Drosophila melanogaster: one gene and its partners. The protein of the gene in region 3 interacts with the protein of the main gene of each other region in a pairwise test. Each region holds a gene or a part of one and is shown on either strand. Other genes may lie near its edges.

What was found.
Region 1: the proteins of CG6163 (region 3) and CG44837 interact in a two-hybrid assay, tested with the Drosophila melanogaster proteins (one large-scale study listed by BioGRID).
Region 2: the proteins of CG6163 (region 3) and CG8854 interact in a two-hybrid assay, tested with the Drosophila melanogaster proteins (one large-scale study listed by BioGRID).
Region 4: the proteins of CG6163 (region 3) and hlk interact in a two-hybrid assay, tested with the Drosophila melanogaster proteins (one large-scale study listed by BioGRID).

The regions. Positions count from the first base shown.
Region 1 is NT_037436.4:11,935,723-11,940,964, reverse strand, and holds the start of CG44837 (uncharacterized protein), read left to right. Parts: upstream 1-2,092; 5' UTR 2,093-2,265; intron 2,266-2,457; 5' UTR 2,458-2,624; coding exon 2,625-3,992; intron 3,993-5,045; exon of another isoform or gene 5,046-5,233; coding exon of another isoform or gene 5,234-5,242. Other genes in the region: byn (brachyenteron), read right to left, coding at 5,234-5,242.
Region 2 is NT_033778.4:12,223,743-12,231,146, forward strand, and holds CG8854 (uncharacterized protein), read right to left. Parts: upstream 5,569-7,404; 5' UTR 5,366-5,568; intron 3,105-5,365; exon of another isoform or gene 2,603-3,104; 5' UTR 2,602-2,602; coding exon 1,962-2,601; intron 1,503-1,961; coding exon 964-1,502; 3' UTR 719-963; downstream 1-718.
Region 3 is NT_037436.4:11,361,173-11,366,867, forward strand, and holds CG6163 (uncharacterized protein), read right to left. Parts: upstream 3,714-5,695; 5' UTR 3,600-3,713; coding exon 3,437-3,599; intron 2,747-3,436; coding exon 2,105-2,746; intron 1,915-2,104; coding exon 1,433-1,914; 3' UTR 814-1,432; downstream 1-813.
Region 4 is NT_033778.4:6,737,409-6,742,290, forward strand, and holds the start of hlk (hulk), read right to left. Parts: upstream 3,265-4,882; 5' UTR 2,845-3,264; coding exon 2,631-2,844; intron 948-2,630; coding exon 791-947; intron 720-790; coding exon 553-719; intron 122-552; coding exon 86-121; intron 1-85.

The DNA of each region.
Region 1 (5,242 bases), 570 kb from region 3:
AATTACAAAAAAAAAATTGTATCCCAAAATTACTTATTTAAGTTTGTGGCTTCGTGGTGCTTGGCTTCACCCTTTTCTGGATAAGTTGAGAAGACAGGGTAGGGTTAACATTTGGAAACCAAATCGCCGCCAGACAGCAAAAGTATCTCATGCGGGGGAAGGAACAATAACGTACAGAAATATGAAGTTTCTGGAAACGAAACCGAATTTCTATTCAATAAAGTTCGGTGGCTTGGTTGGGCTCGCAACTTGTGGCGCAGATGTTCCCGACCTTCCAGCCAAAGTTCGTTATTTGGTCAAGGAAAGAGGTCCTGTTCGAATTCGACTCACTGGCTACAGTGTCCCCATAAAAAAAATTAAACGCAGACCTCAAACAGAATGGCTTGTTGCAACTTTCACTTGTTTTCGATCTTGACTTCTGACATCCTCTGTGGCAGGGATTTGCCGTCGAGGACATGGGCGTGGCTGGCCAACATGTTCACGAAAAATTATGGCTTGACTCCGACATTGTTGAGCCCTTCACGGGCCAACTTTTGGTTCTCTTTCCAAGTTATTAAGCTTTAAATAAAGAAGAATCCTTTTTAAATTGTTTAGACAGCAAAATTCCCACGGGAATTTGCAGTAAGCCAATGTTTCAAAATAATTATTTGTTGGCTTTACAAGACAATAGGAAACCACATTTTTCTGTTTTTTTCTTAATATTTAAATATTTTTAATTACCACAACGCCTTCACATTTACGTGAAAGGTTTAAATAAAACCAATTTAAACGTCTATTTAGTAGATATTTCCTGTAATTATTAACAAATAATTGTTGTGCCATAGAAAAAATTTAATTTATTATAAGAGAACGGCAATTAATATAATTATATAATAATTAATTATTCCTTTGCCTGCATACTAAGATTAAAATAAGTCACTTAATGGAGCAATGGATATATATCCACAAAGTTACATATATATTTTTGTTTTTACGAACGTCCCATCGATCCGCTTTTTGTTAATCATGTGAGTCCTCGTATCTGAAATATGATTTGCATATGGATGCCGGATGTGCTAATGCAAATTTTTGACCCAGCTTGAATTTCATTAACACGATTCGGGGGATTCAGCGGTGCACATACTTACTTCCCCTCCGTGTTCCGACACTCAGCCCATCCGATGCTTGATGGCCATACATCAGGATGAAGGATGAGCACTTCAGAGTATGTGTGTGCCATGAGCAAGTACTTACATATGTACCCAGGTACAGGTGTGCAGAAATGTGGCCGTGCATTGTAATGTTAAGTTACAAGAAATGGTCACACTACAAAAAAAATTTTAATGCGTGGGCCGTTTCATCTGTACAACTAAAATATATCATGTTTTCTAGCTATTCGCACATTGATTTTTTAAATAATTTATATTGAATTTAAAAACATAATATTAGATATCACACTATATTTTTCTGAGTGCTGGCTTGGGGGTCGGTGAACATTTTGAGATGAGGTTAACAAAAATGGCTATGTGTCGTCGTCCTGCTGACTGCGAAATTGCTTTGGATGCCAAATGAATGCACTTGCATATTTCATTGCCGCCCCGTCACCTGCGGTATCACCTTTGGGCCAACTCTTTGCCCCAAGTTGGGATAACACCATCATAAAACAATAGACTTTGGCTTTGTGGCCAGGAGCAAGCGTAACTTTGATTACCAAGAAGAATGTATGCTATTGAGTTCAATAAGAAAAGCCCTGTTTGGTAAAAATGTTTTAAGGTCTGTTAAGGCATAGCATTAAAACAAAAAAACGCTACTTTGGAGGTTAAATTCTTTTTATTGTTACATGATTCCAATGGATATTTGTTTTATATTTTATAGTTACTTTTTTTCAAATAAGTATTACAATAAAATATCTTTGCATTAACATGGACTTTACATTACATACTGTTAACATGGCGACCCACTGCCATACTTTTTTGTTGGGCCAGGTCACTTACGATCCACAGCATCCATCCACTGGGGGGTACTCCTTGCGGAAACTGTTGCTGCTGCTGTTAGCAGTGCCGTTATAAAGTAACGGTACCGCAGCACTGAAGAGCCCAGTGTGTTGGCAGCGCCGCGTGGCAACGGTAATTGAATTGAACCGGGTAGCGTTAGCGGTTTTATCCAACGGAAAATGTGACGGAATATTGGCGGGATTGACGTGTTATAATTTATTTGTTTTAGTTTACGCCGTGATATTGGAAAAGCATAACAAACATAACATTGTTAGTGAAAGAGTAAAAATAGGTAGCGTTTGGAATCCGATTATTATATCTACTATCTTATCATTTACTTTCACTTACATAATAGAAACGTTATTTTTTGTATATTATATTTATTACTTAGCTTACATTATTTTACTTGCTTTCAATATATTATATGTACATATAAGTTGTACCTCCTTTATAATGTTATATCCTTGAATACTTGAATACTTAGGCCACCAAAAATGTGTTTATTTTCATAAATATGCAAATTAAAAGTAAATAGACCAGAATAAGTGCTAATACTGAAACATAAATAAAGATGATTTGCGTGTCATTACTCAAATATCAACTAAAATTCGTGAAAAAGAATTAACAATCCATGAGTGACTAAAGGGAACCATGTCTTCTGGCGAGTGGGACCTGCGTGCTTTGAAGGCGCTGGAGGAGGAGGAGCAGCGCGAGTTCCTGGCCCTCAGCCAGAGAAACCTCTTCGATCCGCTGCCGAATCCCTCACCGGATGTGCCCAGTGCGAAGCCTTCACTAACTTATGCCCAGCTGCATCCTCACCTGCTAAAGCTGCCGACGATCGACGAGTGCCAGCTGATGGCCGTCAAGCAGCAGAGATCAGCGGCTCTGCGATTCAGTCGCGCCCTCTCCTTGTCCGCCCACTCACTCACCTCGCGAACCGGAAGCGCAACGGCAGGCGGAAGTGGCCTGGGCTTTGGCCGTAAACTGAAAGCCCGCTTAGTGGGCGCGAAGTCGAGTGGCTCACTTTCGCCCGGTCGGCACTCGCACAGCTACAGTGTTTCCCCGGTATATACGCCGCCGCCCATGAGAAGATGTGCCACCTTGCATCACACGCAACCGGTGCGAAAAGTCTTTAAAAATCTCCAACAGCTGCAGGAGCGAAAACGTCAGGCGGCTGGAAGTCATCTGCAGAGGATCGCTGGCACTGGAAAAACGTACTGGAAGTACGGAGCCAATTCCACGGCCGCCTCGATAGTGGGCCAACGTGCACGCCAAAACCAACAGATCGAAGTCGAGGAGCCCAACGGTTCGGATGAGCTGAACTCGGAAACACAGGAAATCTCCGAGGCGGAAACGGGCTCCTGCAGTGTGCCGCTGCCGTCGAAGGACACCAATGAAATACTCCGCCTCATGCTCAGTGCGGCCAGCTCGGCGGTAACTGTGACGCCAACGGCGGCGGCCATTGGTAACGGTAACGTGGCCGGAGCAACTGGTGGCGCCCCGCCAATGCGTCGCTACCAGAATGCCAGCGATGTTGAGGAGGACGAAACTGTTGCGTACGGAGCTTTCCACCAGGCGGCCAAAAGCTTCGAGCGCGGCGCTCTCCTGCGAGTCGGCAGCTTAACAGCCCAAGAGAGCGATAACAGCAAAGTTAATGCCATTAGCCCCAGTCCACAGAACAGTCCCGCCAGGGAAACACAATCCACAGCGGTGGGCGGAACGGGTGGCAGACGTGTGTTCAAGTCCTGCTCATTCGATTGGCCCGGGGAAGCGCAACAGCATCTATCCCCGCAGCCACATCAAGCTGCAAATCCTGTAGAGCTGTTGGAGCAGCAGGGAAAGGACATTCGCTTTCGCCAGAGGGATCACTGGGATCTCGAGCATGCCCACTTCCATCACGAGGCACTTGGACACCTAACAACCAGCACCACCGTCATCGATGACGAGCTGGAGCAGCATATCAAGCACTGTTCCTGCTCCTGCAACCACATGGGCTATGGCAACTCAATGGACTATCAGGTGAGTGAAAACTACGTTCAAAAGAGATTAATACAAATAAAAACTGAAAACAATTTCGGTTGAATAAGAAACATATGATTAACAAATTGTAACTTTCGAAGCTTATATTGTCTATTAATGTCGGTCTATTGTTATACCATCAGTATAGGAAGGCAAATGGCTTTAGTTATTGAAATTTTAGATATTTTGCAATTAAGTGGAATGCTAATTGTTTCCTGTTTGCCCATTTAATCCAAAACCGCGTCAAATTCCCGCCGTGCACAGCCCTTTTACAAGTGATGGCGCCGTGTAATTTTAATTGCAGCAACTATATCTGCAGTGCGGGTGTCCGGCAATTCAGGTGAATGGCGGCACATTCAGAGGGCCTCCACTTTCTATCCAGCTTTTAATGCACTCTGGCGGAGATTCCAATACACAGGCATTTCCCAAACTCATTATCAGCGAGGCCTTTTGTGGACATTCCGGGTTCACGGCTGGATTGGTCCTGGCAGATTGCCGCCTGGAGATCGCCCTGGGGCACTGACTCTGCCATTGCCAAGTGCTCCATTGTCTGGCTGCGAGTGGCCCGCATGGGATGGGTTCAACTTTTAAACTAAATTGAATACCCCTTTGAATCCGACAATGAGCTGGATGCCTGTTCTTGCCGGGATTAAGCTCACAGTTGGGTTTCTCGCACCCTCACATCGTTATTGTCTGTAATTGTTAAGACGATTTTAGGTTTAATAGCTGCCATTTCAAATAGAGTTGGAGTCTGTTGGCTGACCCCTCGAAAACTCAAGACTTTATCTTTTGTTTTACCACAAGGATGCAATTGCACACTCTATGTGGCCCTAAGGGGTGTGAGACTTTTATTGTGCAATACTCAGGAACAAACGGCCTGGGAAACTTAAAGCATGACAGGAGTCTTCAACTAGGAAATATTTTCTCGGTTAATAATGCACTCTAAAGAACTTTTAAATACCATTGTATGTAGATGATGATGTAGATGATACCATTGTATGATGAAATGATTGCCTGATAGTTAGGACCTGAAAAAATGAATTCTAGCCATTTGCATAGTTTGATTACGACTTTATAGGAGATTGTTTACAGCGTACAGATAGTTCTACAATAGGTGCGATTGCGATTGGGTGTGCTTTACTAATAGCGTTACTAACATAGGGCGTTTATTTCTAACTCGATCGAACATCCAGGGGGGTCATGCGTCTAAAGGCTGTGGGTTTATCCGTGGGATGATCCGATCACTGCAG
Region 2 (7,404 bases), on a different chromosome or scaffold from region 3:
GCAAAGGTAAATTGGATTGAGAAATTGAAATCGCATTCAGCGGCAAAGGGGGCAGGCGGGCGGATGGCGAGAAATAGGGGGCAAGAGCAAAGGAGATAGAGGAAAATCTTTTCCGTTTTATTTACCTTATTGATTTTCCCTTTTGAACAGGTCGCTCTCCATGTATTTGTGCACCTCCGGCCGAGATAATCGAGCTGAAGTTGCATTTCCCACTTTGCTGGCGAAAAGTTTAATGGATTTTTCCACCATTCAACACCGAAAGGTGTGCTTTAAAAACTTTCCTGCTGTCACTTATTTCCCATTTCGTTCGTACACCTGCCGCATTTGCCATTTGTTCGACTAACTTAGGCTTGACAATTCTCAAAACATTCATCAAAGTCCGGCGCTAAAACCATTTCCGTGTTCTCATTTCTCCCCCCGCAAACATTTTGTCAAACATGAAACATTCGCCTAGTGACGTCACAACTAATTAGAGTGGAAAAAGAGGAACTTTTCTTTGTCACCAAGTCAAGTTATTTGTTTCTGAATGCTTTGCCTAATTAGTGACTTCAACTTTGCTAATATTATGAACAAATCTATAATTATAAGAAATAAAGAAACTATCTTATGTTCAGTCTTACTCTACTTTTAAGTTTTATTGAGAACTATTAGCTCTTCTCCATATAGCCAAGTTTAAACTTTCATACCTTGAAAGTTTTAATAATAACTACAAATCCTTAATGCTTGACTTCAAAATGTTTATTCGGTAAATATGAATATGAAAACACTATATATCTACGACAAACATGTTTCAGTTATTTGGTCTTCAGTGTGTGTGTGTGTATGTGTTTGTGTTTGTATCTGTAATGCAAAATGACTTAAATAACAATAAGGTTTCTGTTCGCGATTGGTGCAAACGTGTTGGTAGTTAGCCTAACCCAAGCACCCAAATCCCAGATCCACGTGGATGCGGCCCCATGGATCTCAGTAATGGCGCTGCATCACCCTGTCCAGATCGTTCCAACTGCATGAGTAGTCGATCTGCAGTAGACCCTTCTTGCTCAGTCCGAATTTACGTGCGTAAATTCCCGAGTAGAGCGACGAGTCACCACCGCTGGAATGATGGGGCGATGAGCCCCTAACCCGACTGCCATCACCACCCACCAAGCCGCCCATGGTTCCGTAGAGGGCGGAGGGTGCGGCATAGATCTGCTGCTGGCATTCGCTGCAATCCGGTATGCTGCAGTACGGCAGTGAAGCATAGGGATTACAGTAGTCGTAGGCGGGCGAAAGTGGCGGCGGTGCGGGGAAATCGATCTGCGGCGGAGCGGCCATGGGCGCCGCCTTACCGCTTCGCTTGCGCCGCGGATGGGGGGCAGTTCCATAGCTGCCGACCATGTTGGTGCTCCGCTGCATCTCGCTGGGCACGGAGCGGCGTTGCATCGTGGCCGCGCGTCGTTGGAGAACGGGCTGCTCATCGCCAATGGAGGAGGGATGCTCCGTGGAACTGGTGCTGGAGAAGCCTGAAACGTGTGAGATTACACGGCATTAGTGAAAGCTATCAAAATCATTTGGTATTTTACAACAGCTACATTTATATTTAAGCACTCGATGGGTTTAAAATCAATAAAACATTTATACTTACATATAGTTTGAAAAGGATTAGTAATCAAAATATATAACAAATACTAAGTAATTAATGATCCCCAAGTACAGAAAATCAAATTTCATTAGTCAAGCTCAAAAATCAATGATTTTGCCAGAGATTTGCAATTAAACGTTAATCGAATTGCCATAAAAGACGCACTGCGTAAATTGTAACAATCAAATGGAATCGAAAATGAAATCTAAATGCATTTGTGTGATTTGCATACAAAGCTAACTAAATAAATTGGTTATTACGAAACAAAAGGAATTTTAAATTAAAATCTAGTTTTAAAGGGGTTTCGAATTTGCATTTGCTATTTGCGTTTTTCACTCACCTCCAAAGCCATTGTACAGTTGCCGCTGCTCCTCGCCGTAAAGATCTTCCGGCTCCTCATCCTCGCCGTTGTCCAGGTGCAACTGCCTGGTCATGGTGGCCATGTAGTCCTCATAGCGGCTGGGCACACCGTAAATATCGCTCCTGGCCGTATAGAGTGGCTCCTTGCGAGCGCTGCGGCTACGGCGACGAGTCCTTTGGGGCACACAGCACTCAAGTTGGCACTGGGCACGCGACACCCGGCGACTTTGGGTGTGGGGGCGTGGCATTGTGGCCGACATGCCCACACCCATACCCGCACCGGCGGCACCCACTCCGTATCCGTATGTGGGACTGGTCGTCAGCGAGTTGCCACCACCTCCGTAGGCAGGTTCAATTGCCTCACCATCACCATCACCACCACCGCCACCGGTGACATCATCGATCTTCTTGCGAACATAATCATAGTTCTCCAGATCCCAGGGATCCACATAGCAGCGCTGCGAGGGCAGCAGCGTGGTGCCATATATATCCTCCGTGTTGTCAATGGTATAATAGGGGGATTCCAGGGCGCCCACTCCCTCCGAGGAGCTGCCACCAGGTAAGGCCTGTTTTGGACCGGCTCGTCGCCTTCTTGGGGTCGTTTGACTGCGTTCACGCATGCTGTAAGAAAAAAAGGCAAAGAAAAAATACATAAATATTGGTTGGGAAAATGCGGAGATGGTGCGCGTGGTGTGGGAAAGCCATGAGCAAGTGCATCAACTGGTTGCTTACGCAACGCACTTTGTGGCCAATACTGAAAACTCTTCCGTCAACGAATCGAACCCGTTCTTCGGCGTTGGCCGCGAATTTTCCGCGGCATTAATGCCGGCTTAAAATTGCACACCGGCTTGGCTATATCTTTTGCAGGTGTTACACTTCACGACTTCAGATTGCAACCATTAGCCGGTTTATGGATCTGCATAACTTAGCATGGCCAATCAATTGGCATTCCAATTGCCAATAAGCCGAGATATTCCATTAGCCAACAGACTGGTTTACGTCAAAGGAAAACTAACAAAAAACCCATCCACCCGTTTCGGGCATCGAAAACAAATTGCTTTACTTATCAAATTTCATTAAAAAAACAAAAAACTATTTAATTAAAATCTGAAATGGAGCCCGTCGGCAACTGTATAAATTTATAAAAATATGCGATACAAAATCAAGTGGAATAAGTGCCATGCAAAAAATACACAAATTTCCATTTTGTCGAGAAGGTTAACTAGATTTTCGATCAGGCTTGTCAGTTGCAGTGCCATCGAAATGGAATTAAAATACACCGAGTTTTCCATTGTAAAACTAAATAAATGAAAAACGTTCAGTTTTTTTTTAACTGCATATTCATTTCAGAGTTTATTTAACATAAAAGACAATATCAACATGTAATAAGCGAAAAACGGTTCACATTTCTTTCATTCGATTAAATCTCTACCGAAATCTGAATGAAAAGCATGAATGGGCACAGAAAATATTAATATTAATGCATCTGTTTCCGCAAAGTTAAAAAAAATACCTTAAAAAATATTAAATTAAATTTTTAGGCAAATTTTTCGGCTGATATTTTACATAGGCTTTTGGTTTTCTCCGGGGTTTTCCCCTTAATTATTTCTACAATATAAAACGCCCATTTCAAAAAAGGGTTTTGCGCAATCTTTTCGAGGCATTTGTGATTTGTGCATTTGCATAAAAATGTTGAGTTGGTTTTGTTTTTGCCTGGTTTGTTTTAATCTCTTCGGTTATCGATTAACATTTGTATGGCCTGATCAAGAAAAAAGGTTTCCGATGGGAATATATTTTTTATAAAATACACAAACTGTACCGCGAAAAAAAAATAAAACAACGTGACTTGGCTGTGACACGCAAATGAAATCGTTTATCTGTGTATCTTTCAGGGTCTATAAACTTTTTATGGCATATATCCAAACAAAACAAAATATGCACACAGAAGCCCATCTGAATGCACTTTCAGTGATTTGCACGCGAGTGAAAATGGTTTAGGGCTTGTTTTTTAAGCTATTTATTATTTAAAGGAACTCCAAAATGTAGTCAATCCAAAACAAACAATGTAGGCATACAAATTCTGCACTCTATACTTGATATTCCAGTTATTATTCTAGATAACTGATGAATAAATTGATAAGAATAATAAATGTTCTTGGTGGGTGAAAATCGCATTACGTATGCGCCACGTGGCCCTTTACCGTGAAAAGTTAATTGCATGCGCAGTGTTTAGACGCAATTAGAGTTGAATATGCAAACACATTCGTGGATATGGAACCACTTAAAACCCCTAAGACCCTGTTAATTAATTGGCATCTTCGGACGGCACTTCCACTCCTTCACTGCGGTTGGCTGATTGCCCCGGTCAACCTCAGATACAGATTCAATTTCGGATTCAGATTCATTTCAGCGTAAAGTGCCGCTTTGACTTTGGCTTCTGGCCATTTGCATATCAAATGTGACAAGTTCGCGTCGAGTTACTTTGTGTAATCAGTCGGGCTTGTTAGCGTGTTTGGTGATTGATAGTGGTTTTGGCCACCTGAGTTAGGCTTAAAATAAAAGACAACTATCAATATTTGTGCAAATCCGGGCTATTAAATGCTATTAAGACGGATGACCGTAATGGGATATTTAAATAAAGATTAAATTTAAGTATACTAAAAATAAACTTATTTAAGATAAATGTAGGTTTGTAGGTAGCAACCACAAACACTCTTTATAAATATTAACTGGTAAGATATTCCACTATTTATATTTTACTACTCAAAATTTTGCCCACCTCCATAATATTATTCGATTGACTTTGGTTTTCTCCGAATATTTCAATTAAGGTAATAATTAACAACCTGTCCATGTCTCATTCAGCACAAATTATGCAAAGGTAAGGTAAATATTTCGACATCGGATTATAATGCAAAATAACTGGAAACACGTTTGCCAAATGCCAATCGACCTTGCTAAGTATTCAAATATATAAATATTTATTCGAGTGATATCATGCCCAATTGTGGATTTACATCAAACCAATCGAGAGCAGGGTAAAATGAATTTAAAAAGTCACATCTTCTGCCGCACCTTTGAAAAAAGTATGCGAGACGAGCAGAAGTTTTTATCATGAATCACCTGAGAAGAACAGTTCTCTCGCATACCTGGGCGTAGTGCCCTAAAATGGTGATCATTACATTACACCTGAGATGCATTCGAATTTATGTGGCACAGACCCACGCAGATGATCACTCAATCTCGACAAGCCCGCAAAAGATTGAAAACGAACATCAGACGGAGCTGAAGATACACCTAAAAAGATACTTGGCAGCCTGCCCACACTAAAAAAATAGCAACTTTCTTTGCTTTTGACACAGTTTTCTGGGCAGTTTCATTCACCTTGTTATTTATTTGGTTTTGGTGTTGGTTATAAATTTGAATTTGTTTTATGCCGTCGGTCACTTGTCACAGAGCACTTTTATGGTTATAGAACGCTCTTTTAGCCAATTTGTGAATTGTAAATTTCAAACACGTCCGATCGGCACATGATCTACGCGCATGCGCAACCGCGTTGTGTTCGCTTCTTCGACCGGCGCTCAACTGTTTTGGCCAACGGTTTGAGCCAAGTTACAAGTCTTTGGCGCTTCTCTGCCAGCATGTTCGAACGGGTTTGATCCTCGGTCTGAGCTCACCTCACATGTTCGCTTGCCAATTTCCATCAAAATTAATCAGAGATCCCATTCAGTCTTTATGTCTTTGGCTAGATGTAATTTCGGCCGGCCTGTAAATTAATTAGCAGTAAATTAAAATGACAGCAGGTGGTTATGTCACAGTCGCAGAGCTACTCAAAGTCACATTGATATGCAAATTTGAGAGTCGTTGAAATGCGGCTGCGCCAGGGAAATGCCATAGATATGTAAGCAAAACTGGGCTTCATTACACAACGAATTGAAGTTGCTCTAAAGAAATGTATCTAAAAACTCAGTTAAAAAGTAGAAATTGTAATTTGAACTGTCATCATTTAGGAAAAGAAGCTGATTCATACCCAACATATATTACACCCATTTTCGAAACTCATTCAACTTAACCGCATAGTGACCATAGCCGTTGCTAGAGTAAGTGGTTTAAAAAAAAAAGCAGCTGCCAAGTTCAAGTCTTTTTCACTTGCGGAAAGAAATTGAAATCGCTGCTGAGAGAAATTGCATCACTTCAACTTCAACTTCAACTTGAACCGACATTCGGGTGGGGCAATGTGCGCCGCCTTTGAATTCATCAAAAGAAAACAGGTGATGAGCATCATTTCTCATTCGAGACTTTTCCCATCTCCAGCAGCTAAAGCCCAAATAATTTATGCAGTTTTTTTTGTTAGCTACCAAAAGGTATTTATAAAATTAATTGTTTGAAAAAACCTTAAAAAAAGCTTTCACTTTCAGTGCGGTGGCGGTTGGTTTTTTGTGTGGTATCCCCAAAGTCGTGCCGATATTTATGGTGTTTATTCAGTCAGGTCAGTTATTATTTCCTATTGCGGTGAGTGTCGAGTGCAAACAATCAATTGATGGCCCATAGACCAAACCAAAAGCAATTCAATTAAGCCAGCTCAAGTGGGCCACACTTTGTGGTCAGATGTGTCACCAGATAAAAAAGCAGGCAATTAACAAATAATTGTTTGGGGAATTTTAAAGGATTTGCGAAATCTCAGCGACCGCAGATGTTATGCTTCTTAAATTATTTAAAAATATAAATTCCTATCATATGTTAGTATTTATATACATATATATCTTTAGAAATATATCTATAAATGTCTTGCAAGCTCATGCCATTCAGCTTTCGAATGTTATTTGGATTTCTGGTCACGAGAGCTTCGAAAATTGTTGCCTTCACCGGGCATCCATCCATCCATTGAGTTCATTTAGCCAGCCTGCAGTTCATCAGGCCTACATTCCTTGCCGTAGAATCCCAACCCCAATATAGGTACATATGCACTATTTGGACCCATTCAGAGGCTCTGGAGCCAGAGCAATTTGCCGCTTTTAATGGCGAACGTCGTTTTGGGACTTGGGCAGCACACGTTGCCAACGCACAGGAAACCGGCTGCACCTGGCCACCCAGCGGGGGGCGGTGGTGATGCATTTTCCGGTAATGGTAAGGGGGTGGTAAGGGAGCGGTGCCGCAACCAGATGTTTGCCTTTGACTGGCGGCAGACTCGTTGATCTCTGCTCCAATTCCAATACGTATGTGTGTGTGTTTGCTCGGCTCTTTCGGTCGGTATCTATCTATCAGATACTTCGCACCGGCGACATTGCAACATGCTCTTAGTGATGGCAAGGAAAAACTGCAAAGCTATTTCATATTGGCAACAATATTGCACAAGTAGTAACATCAATGATTGAGGAGTACATATATCTGATTTCAATCGATATTGTAGGCCTCATATCGAA
Region 3 (5,695 bases):
TTTCCACCCAGCTTTTCCACCCCTCTTTCACCCTAACCCCACCCCCCACCCAACACACACCCGACCGCATTTCCCCGCTTAGCTGGCGTTGATAAATGCACGGAGCATAAAAGTTTGAACAAACTACTTGAGTTTTTAGGCAAATTTTCGCCCCGAACTAGAACGTAAAACGTAGCCAACTACTTTCCACTTTACCTGGCGGCGTGCCACGCCTCCACCTATTGCCGTACCGCCCCACCGCCACGCCCACTACAAATCGCTGGGCCCATTAGAGGCTTGGCAAAAACGCCGCTAAATGCGACGTGAATTATTTAAGGCACGTGTGTTGTGCAAAATGCGGCAAATTCGACAGTGAAATGCATTTATTATTGAAGATATTGTCGGAGTCTGCGGGCGGATGAAAAATAAAAGGGGTGTTGGGTGCTGAGGATGTAAGATGAGGCGGCATCCTTTGGGCCAATTATGTGGGTGGCTCTTGGGCGAAACGAAAACGGGGCAGCTATACGTTTTGATAAACGTTTTACAGTTTGAGAACTTTTCTTTTCTGGGCTGGCACGTGATTGGAATTACGCGTGTTCCGCCCTTGGCCCTCAGCCAGAAATTTACACAAATCCACAAAACACTGGATGCCAGGAAGCCAGGATGGCAGGATGGCTGGATGGATGGTGGCTTTATGGGACGACTCCATGTGCGGCAATGTGTATGTGTGTGTGTATTTGAAACATGTTTGCCAGTTTGGCAATCGACAAATGTTGCACACACTGTGAGAATTAGCATAATTTAGTTTTCGCGCTCGGAGCGTTCTCGAATCTCGAATCCGTCGCATCGCATCACGATTATCGCAATTGATTGAGTGCAAAGCACTTCAGATGGAATAAATCTCCTTTCATTCGGAAATTACAATCGCATTTTTCTCGAAATTGATATTGATGAAATGTATACCACTCGGTTATATAACGTGAGTAGTATCCATTTCAGTTTCGCATTGAATGAGCCCTAATTTAATTTTAATTCATTAATCCTTCAGAAATACATGGAAGTTTCTAGACTACACAAATTGGAATATATATGCTAAGTGAATTTATTTCCAACCAAAATATACAAATTAAATATTATGTATATCTTAGTGATGTATTTATTTGCGGAGTAGTAGAAAATGGAATTACAAAAAGGTTTTTCAATAGTAGGGGCATGCGGTATAGCTAGTGATTTTACATCTGACGATTATTTTAGGGTCTTCAAATTGCACCTGAGAAGAAACCTATATCAAATCAAGAAAAAAAAACAAGTGAAATCTTGTTAATTTTGTTCAATTATATTGAAGTATTTGATCTAGTAAGTTAATATTAATTAGTGCCCAAAAAAAAAACAAAGTGGTGCAGGCTTTTTCTCAGGTGTGTCTAGGGCTTAACTGCCCCTATTTGCTCAGTCTTCAATTGGCAGCTGGCTCTCCGGCACCATGGACATGGAGAATCATCTCAAAGGGATCCCACTCGAGATCGGACTCGTGCTTGACCCGACGGCGAATGGGCTGCGAGTGCTGCGGATGGTGCATGGCCAAAGTCGGATGGTGTCCCTCCTGATGGTGGTGCTGCACCAATCCGATTGGCATGTCCTGGGCGTGCTCCACCAATCCTGCTGGCGGCTGTGGTGGACGGTAGTGGTGCAAGTGCTGTGACGGATGGTGCTGCGTCTGCTGGTGGTGCTGCTGCTCGCTAACGATCTCCTGGATCTGTTCGCGTGTCTGCTCCCTCTCATCGACCTTCTTTAGCAGAATTTCCCGCATGAAGGACATTCGATCGAAGTGTTCCCACGTGGAGCGGAAGGATTGGTGGGAGTATTGGGCGTGGCGCTCCTTCTGCAGTTCGTCTACGTAGCGCTGCTTGATGATTGACCAGCGCGTTTGCATAAGAGCTGCAAAGTATAAGATGTTTTGGGAGGGTTGGGGAACTTTTTATAATTCACATTCCTTTAAGCTACTTAAGCTTATTTTAATACCAATTCGTCAGGACATTAGTAACATCCTTTTAACACAATATTAAATTAGTTTGCTACATGCTATATATTTCGATGGATATAATCTACTTAGACGGGACTAACTTACTCGGTGTCAGACCCATCTCCATGGCCGCTTCCTTCCAAACCGCTGAGGTTCTACTCTGACCCTGTCCTTTCTCACTCCGCTGGCGCCCAGCCCACAACGATGGACGCGTCTTGATGGCATCGATGATACGTCCGCGCATGCTATTGTGCAACGAACTGGGGCGGCCCAACTTTCGCGGCGGCGTGGCCACCGTCTCTGAGGCCACAGTGGCCGGTGGAGGTACCAGCCCCGTGAAAGCGGTATATGTCATGCCATGACCTTGACTATGGGGCGGCTGAGTGATTAGATGCGGCAGTTGAGGGGCGGTGGGTGTGGTTGCGGTCTGCAGCCAGCTGAAGCTACCACTGGGTCGTCCGCGACCATGGGTGGCGGTGGGTAATGGCGGAGGCGCCACTGGGGCAGCAGGTTCCTCCCCCACAGTTGCTGCTTCAGTGGCTGTGGATGGGGCATCGGAGGAGGTGCCTCCGCCACTGCCGCCGCTCGACTGAGCGCCTACGATCTTTGCCACCGTAATGTTATACATGAAGGACATGGGCTCGAAGTGCTCCCACTTGGTGTTGAATCGATCCTTGTGGAGGATCTGGCGGTGGACCAAGTTGTGATAGTGGTACTTCATCTGGCTCCAGATCGATTGCAGCTTAACTGAAAATTATAAATAAATATGGTAAACATTTTCTTTTTTAAAGAATATTAATCGTGAATCGTGATTATTGAAACTTCCAAGAAATAGATATTTCAAATATTGAGATTATGGCTTAAGAGGCCTAAGAGTGCGAAGTTTAGTCTTTTCATTCATGAATATTGTAATATCTTGTGGCACGGTGCAGATAACTAAGCTTACATTAAGCCACCCAATTGCATTCATCAAAGTACATTCCACCCGTCAATTATTTCTACTGCGAGTGCTTCAATTTGCATTATATAGTGGCGTAGGCTCCTCTATTATTCCAAACGGACAGAAACCTTTACTTTCTATCCGAAATGCCCTTTGTCTAATTTTAGCCAAGTGCAGTGACGTAATTTAAGAAAATAATGAACCCTTTAGGAATATTGATTCAACGTAGATTTTTGTTATTGAGCAGTGAACTTTAAAATGTTCAGGTTGGACCAACTTACTTTAAATAAAGTGATTTTCAGCCCCCTTTCAAAAGCACATGCCTGCGCCACTGAATGCGCCTCGAAAGAGCTGGCGAAAGGAGAGTGCGAAAGGCAGCAACAAATGGCAACACTGCTAGCTAGCTGGCGAATGGAGCAGTGGCGTAGAGTGTGAGGGGTGCTTATGTCGGAAAGCGGAATGGTTCGTAGGGACGGGTACATTCTTGGTGGGCTCACCTGTCGGCACATGACCGCCGAACTGCTCGGCGATCTCTGTCCACATGGGCGATGTGACGCTGCGGCACATGTGCAGCTTGTTGTTGGAGTCCCAGATCTCCGGATATTTCTTGATCGCCTTCAAGAGCTGGGCTCGATTTACGAACGGATCCTCCTTGGGCATGGCCACAGCGAAACTGGTCACACTGGCACTGAATGATACCGTACCGCGGCAATGATTCCAAAGGCGATGTGAAACTGCGCCGGCGGAGCACAACTGCGTCCTTTGACATCAATTATCGGCGAATAACTGAAAGTAGAGTTTGCAAAAATATGCGAATTGAAAATGAAAAGGCACAGCGATTGAGGAAAATAGAGAAAACGATGACGGCGACGGCGACGCCAGCTTTTCGTTGTTGTTGCCCCGATGCCGAAGAGATTGGAAAGGCAGCGAAAGCGTACACGAGATGAGATACACAAAATGCAGGCGAGAAGAGAGAACAGGGAGAATGTGCAAAAAAAAAAAAAGACAGAAAAAGGAAAGAAGAGTCAGCAGCGACGACGTCAGTTTTACATACAAAAGTCTCCGCGTGTAGGTGCTTGTATCTGTGTGAGTGAGTAAGTGTGTAAGATGGCAGGGCGAAAAAGCAAAACAGACACAAGCAACAAGACCAAAGAGGAGACAGACAAAAAGCAACAACATAGCGCAGCAGCGGCAGAAGCAGCGAAGCTCAGAGCTGCAAAAACCGAAAAACAACAGAGAAGAAAAGCACTGAAAGAATAAGAGGAAGATGGAGGAGGCGGAAAAAAGCAGCGGGCAGGCTGCCCAAAAGAAAGGCAACGATAAACAAGCTACCTCTCTTTCATTGGGGGTCTCCTCTCTCTCCCTCTCTCTAACTTGGAGCCACCGAAAACGAGAGGGTGTTGTCGGGGAAGGGGTGAGTGGCGGACGAGCATTAGAAGCAGCGAAAAGCGAAACAAAAGAGCAGCGAAGAGTGCAGAGCAAAATGCAGGTCCGCAAAACGGAGAGCAGAGAAATCCACGATGACCGAAGTCGGTTGTTGGTCGAAGGGGCTGTGTGCGGGTGTGAGGGGGAGCAGCGAAAGAGAGAGGGAGGCAGGCAGAGGAGACCCGGAGTCCGAAGCCCGGCTGTCTAAACCGGAGACCCAGCAACAACAGCACCAACAACTGCAACAACCAGGGCAAACAACAACTGCATCACGAACACGCAACAAAGTGACGAAGCAACCGACGGACAGTGGGACGCATTGGAGCTGGCACAGTGGGGCCAACGACGGGTGGGGGATAGTAACGCGGCAGTAATGGTTTATCTGGCTAGAAAGTTGTTAAGAACCCCATCTTTAAGTATAAGAGTGAATACGGTTACAAGAGATTTAAAATGTCTATTAATCTTTATCAAAACAAATTCTACAAGCTTTAATTATATTTTATCGTGAAATATTCCATTTTTAACATTTTGGTCATAAAATATGATATGGCGCCATAAGATAGGCAACACATTTTTCGCTTATAAGGGGTAGATTACGTATACGTCCTGTTGTCTTTATTGCATTAGTAAAACTTATTTACATCTTGTTTTTTAATTTTCTGCTAACCACTTAAAATTTATAAAAATGTTAAATACAAATAACTTTAAATGTCACTCTTAAGTAAACTGGGCGTATACGTGATCACCTAATTGCATGCAGAAGATGGCACATTATCAAGAATAAATAAAAAAAAAAAAATGTTTAAATTTATATTCGCTGACTTATAAATTTACTTAGCCGTTTTTTCGCCAAACTGAGTTGGCATTGTGCAAAGAAGTGGCATCACTGGTGGGTGGACTGTTCGGTCGCTTGCTCGGGTTCGTCGTTGGTCGTTTTGGGCGCTGTGAGTGTGTTTGTGCGAGTGTACGTGCAATGAACCCGCAACTACAACTGCACACAACTGCAGCACGCACACTCGCACACCCGCCCACACACACGCACGCCGACTTCATTAGTATTGGCAACGATTCGTAGGCGCTGCAGCGCGCTGCGTTCATTTACTCAGTGCCCCAGACCCCGATGCCGAGCAGCGACCCACAGTGCTGCCCCCGACCACCCACCGCACACCTTGCCACACCACTTGGGCACCACCACCACCCGCCGCCTCACCCTACCCCCTTAGATATCCGCAATTCAGCGTGCGAGAACGAGACTGCAAAACAAACAAGATTCGGCATAAATCAGAGGTGGTCAACTATTTACATAGTGGGGATGTTTGTATTCGGGAGCG
Region 4 (4,882 bases), on a different chromosome or scaffold from region 3:
TTTGGGGGAAACAAAGTTTCAAAGTAGGTAATTATAAGGAGAGTGCAAGATAGAAGGTTCCCAGTACTGTTCACGGAAAACTTACCCATAACCCTGGGCGGGCATGTTTCATGATCTGGACCTGCAGTCGTTTGATAGAATAGATATTGGATTGATAAATTGTCCTTTTGCATTTTGGCTCAAAGAGGGTTCGAAACACCGCCGGAAGAGAAATTATTATTATATATAGATAGCTATATTAAATGTTAAGTATGCCGCCACTTAGCTTCGGTTAGTTACAAGTAGTATACGTATTTATAGATAGAGTACAGACATACGCAAAAGATATTGATTTATGGAATAGAATGTACAGAATAGGTAGTTTTGAAAGTAGTTCTAGTACCTAGCTGTATGATTTTTAGTCACAAGAGAGCTAAACTGTTTGTGTTCGCTAAAAACTGCAACTGCTTTGAAAAAGAATATCATCATTTCAAGTGTCCGACACTAGAGTGTTCGGAGTGCTAAACGTTTGAAGAACTATGTATGTGCTACGGTTAAGTCATTCACACTTACAGAACAGAACGGCTACGAAGTCGGTGTCCTCGATGATCTTCTGCAATATCTTGGCATTGACCTCCTCGATGCGATCGGGCAAGTCCATGGCCTCCAAGGAGGTGAGGAAATCGAGCACTCCTTCCTCGTCCATGAGATCCCCATCATATATGATGGGCTCCTTTTCCCTGCGGTTTTCGAGATATGGATTCGATTCGATTAGGTCTTGTGTCTTGTTTGTGGTGGGGGAATTACCTACCTGAAGTAGGTGAGGGCGGGGAAGTTCTTGATGCCATACTGTTTGGCTAGTCGTTTGTCGTTGATTTTCACGAAGTCCACACCGAAGGAGTCGGTGTCATCGTCGATTTTCTCGAGTTCCGCTAAAACCTTATCACAGGTCACGCAGCTTCGCGCATCTGAAATCGTAGAAGCCGAGCGTGTGAGTACTAAAGATCGATTATATGTAGATACCGGCAGCGATTGACAGTCGGCAACTGCTGCATGTGACGCCACAAGAGACCATAACTAAATTCCCATTCGAATTGAAAGCCCAAAGCCCAAAGCCCTGGCAGAAGTGGAGCCAAATGCCGCAAAGATTATTCATTCCTATATAGTAGATGCAGGATGCATCATCGGACCGCGCAATCGAAAATAAGCCTGAATGAATGAATGAAATGACAGCAGCGCCAGGCCAATTCTGTGCTATTAATGCGGCAGCAACTGCCAACAAATATGCTGAAATTCTAAATTAATTCATAAAATTCATGCGGCCACTATTAGGGAAATGAATTGCAGCCCACAAAAGACCACCGTTGGCCCACGTCTCTACAAACGTTCTGGTTGGTTAAACGGCAGACCAGACTGCAAAATCGGAATCATTAATACATCGCCGAGTAAACAGCCATTTCGATTGTTTGGCAATCCGTTCAAAACAATCTTTCACTGCTTGGAAAGTAATCGCGAGTTGGCCGAATACCCCCCCCCCCTGCCTACTCCATACTCCTAATGCTGTTATTTACGGGCTCCAACACTAAGGTGTTTCCTGTGTACACCAGGTGCTTTGGAAAATCCACTGCAGGATGTTTGATTTAAAATCATCAGAGTGCTATCGCATGCAGTGCAATAACATAAATAGCGTTCACTTGAAATAATAAACACATTTAGCTTATCGATAGAATTCGTTTACATATTGAACTATCTGCGATTTAATTGCCAAAACTATTCAATGCTCTGCCATTTGCGTAGATATTCCATGATTATTTCGATTGTCGGCCAGCGTCATTGGGCCTGAGGCTTTTGGACTTAAAATATTTTCATTGTCAACAATTATTTTTGGAATTGCCGCCAATGCTAATGAAACACATCGTGAGGTATATGTACATATACATATAAAGGAGAATATTACAATCCGAAGATCACTTTCGTGTTTATTAACTTTGACATTGGGGAACAGCGCGCAAATGCCCAATCTATATTTAAACTGATTAAAGAGATTTAATAAATAAGCCATTCTTTCACGCGAACGGTAACCATTTTTTTTTTTTTTTTTTTTTTGGTTACCCAAAAACAGGTCACCAATGGGACCCACTGGACAAGGGGATTGAAAATAAATTTAAAAGGGCAGGAAATCTGTTGGCAACTGCTGGAAGGAAATTAAATTCTGCTTCATAGGTATGTAGGTATATTTTGTGCCAAAAGTTTGCGCCAAAATAGACTAAAAAACCGAAAATATAAAAAGCTGCAAAGACGATTTCTCACAGCCAAGAGAGATTTCTCTACTCATAAACAGATCGCAAAGATAGCGCAGAAATGAAAAAAATATAGAAAAGGGAAGGCAGCACAGACTACTGGCAACTCGGGGAGGAAATGAAGAAATAGAAAAAAAATAAAAAATTAACCGAATGAAAATCGCGGACATTTCGAGCAACGAATTTTTCACATATTTTCATTTGTATGTGAATTTTTAGAATTTTCACTAGCGAAAATTTATATAATATGGCTTCTGTTACTATTTCGAGTCCGGTACGGTCCGGTCTGACGATAAATGAGCGGTGCCCGGACGACCCCGAGAGCACTGGCATAACCACCCTCCCACTTACACCAGAAAACGGCCACGTAATCCTTGTCGGCCAGGAGCTTCTCCAGCTGCTTGGCATTGACCTCCTCGATGACGGCCTCCGGCTCCGGAGGCGCCACTGGCTGCGAGCCCTTCTTGTTGTTGTTGTTGCCTGCACCACTCACATGTCCGGGAAAACTCAGGGCCAGCAGAGCACACACGAGCAGCGAGAGAGTCTTGAGGCGGGTGAAAGTCATCCTGCGATCGGTTACGGTTCTGATGTGCTTTAGGCCCTTAACGCGAACATGCGTGCGCGTGTCTGCTCGTTTTGGTGTGTTCTACAGTTTATAGTGTTATAATTGTATAATTGATTCGTTCTCGTCGTTTGGGGTCTTTCGTTATTAAAATTTGTATTCCTTTGAGAATCGGTCACTATTTTTAGTTGATAATGGTGTTTCTTCTTTCGCAATTTATTTTATGTATAACAACTTTTTGTTCACTGATACATATATACGGGGTTCGTATATGCACAGGCGAGATATATGTGGGGTATATACGAGAATAATTAGATTATATATGTGGTTTCTTGCTTCTATTAATTGAACGTTTTCCGCGGACTGTACTCTTTGCTCTTCAGATTTTGTTCCACTCCGTGCAGAGGTCCGCTCGCAACTGAAATTATTTTGGTGGAATCTCGGTGCCATTCAAGAGGCCTTGCCCGAGCTTTAGGGATCGGGATCGTGGACTTCGTGCTTTGGCGCAGCTTTTCCGCTCCCCCGAAAAGCTTTCGCGTCGAGCACAGGAGCGCCAATCGAGTGAGCAGTGTGGTGAAATCAGGCAAAGAGCAAGAGTTTCCCTTTTGAATTGCAGTTCTCTGTTTATGCATTCGGTGCAAACAAGAAAGTGACTACGAATAGTCCTATAAAAACAAACTCGGAGAATCGCTTTCATTATGCGCTACAACAATTCACAGTACTTTGTATTCCCCATTTTCCCTTTGGTAAACACTTTTAACAATGTGTTTCGAGCTAACATTTTGTCAACGTTATGCTTAGTCTAAAATAGAAAGGATTAAACTTCCCTTTGCTAAGAGACATAACGTGACATTGTTGAATCTTTAAGTTTTATAGTTCCAAAAATCTATGCGTTTATAGAGATAGGAGGACATGAACAGATCGAATCGGTTAATGATCCTCAATAAGAATAAATGTAAATTCTAGGGACGGAAACGTTTCCTTCCAGCAGTCAACTATTATGTAAAAATCAACAAATATACCAAATTTTGAATAGGATCTAGAGAATGATTTAAAGTTACTGTTAAATAAGCCTTCTCGAAAACTGTTGGTCATCGAAAACATGGAAGATGAGACCGGATTTACAAGTGGTTTTCTGTCCTTAATAGCTTTATTTGTATTGATTAATGTAAGAATTCTCAAATTCTAAAGATTGGCATCAAAACCTGATCCAACTAATAATGAATCCTTTTCAACTGGTTATCAACTATGACCTTTGTTAACGTCAAACCACCCTCGCGAATTATTTGGAGTTCGTTTCTGCAACACACACAAAAATGAAAGTCTCGGTATCTTGGTACCTGTATTAATGTTATGGAGGTTTATTCAATATTTTACAATAAAGCTAGGCAAGTGATAAATCAGAAATGTTTTAATCAATTCGGATATGTTCAAAAAATCTAGTGATGCAGTTGCACTTTTTCTCGGAGACTCCCTTGTTTATAATTTGCAGGACAAATAAACAAAAATAATACAGCCTATTTTGGGCTTTCAAACAAACAACATGGCCGCCATTTGGATTTGAATAGCTATCGATAGGTGCCGTCGGCCAGCTGACAATCCATCCACTGCCTATCGATAATATCTAGCTGAGCAAGATGTACGGATTTGTGAGCACACACTTTAGTTTTTCGTTAGGAACGGGACGTTCGTTCTGTTGCGCACCAAATTTTTTCGGACCCAATGCAAATGCAAACGCTTTTGCGGCGTGTGTAGTGCATTCAAAATTACCAGATACCCAACGGGATCCAAAGTTCCCAGAGCAGTGGCACCGGAATCGATGCGACCAGCAGTCAGCGGAAGCGTAAGAAATTCGCGCCTAGGTGGACAAAAATCGATCTGTGACGCGGTTTAAACCAAGGTAACTCCGCTATCCATGAATAAAATCAGCTCTTCCCACGGGTGCTTCCGCCATGGGGCCACAGTGCGGGTCCTGTGGCCAATTCACCTTGAACCCAGTATTGCAGAAGGGGCCGCATACCAAGTCCAATTCCCTGCGCTT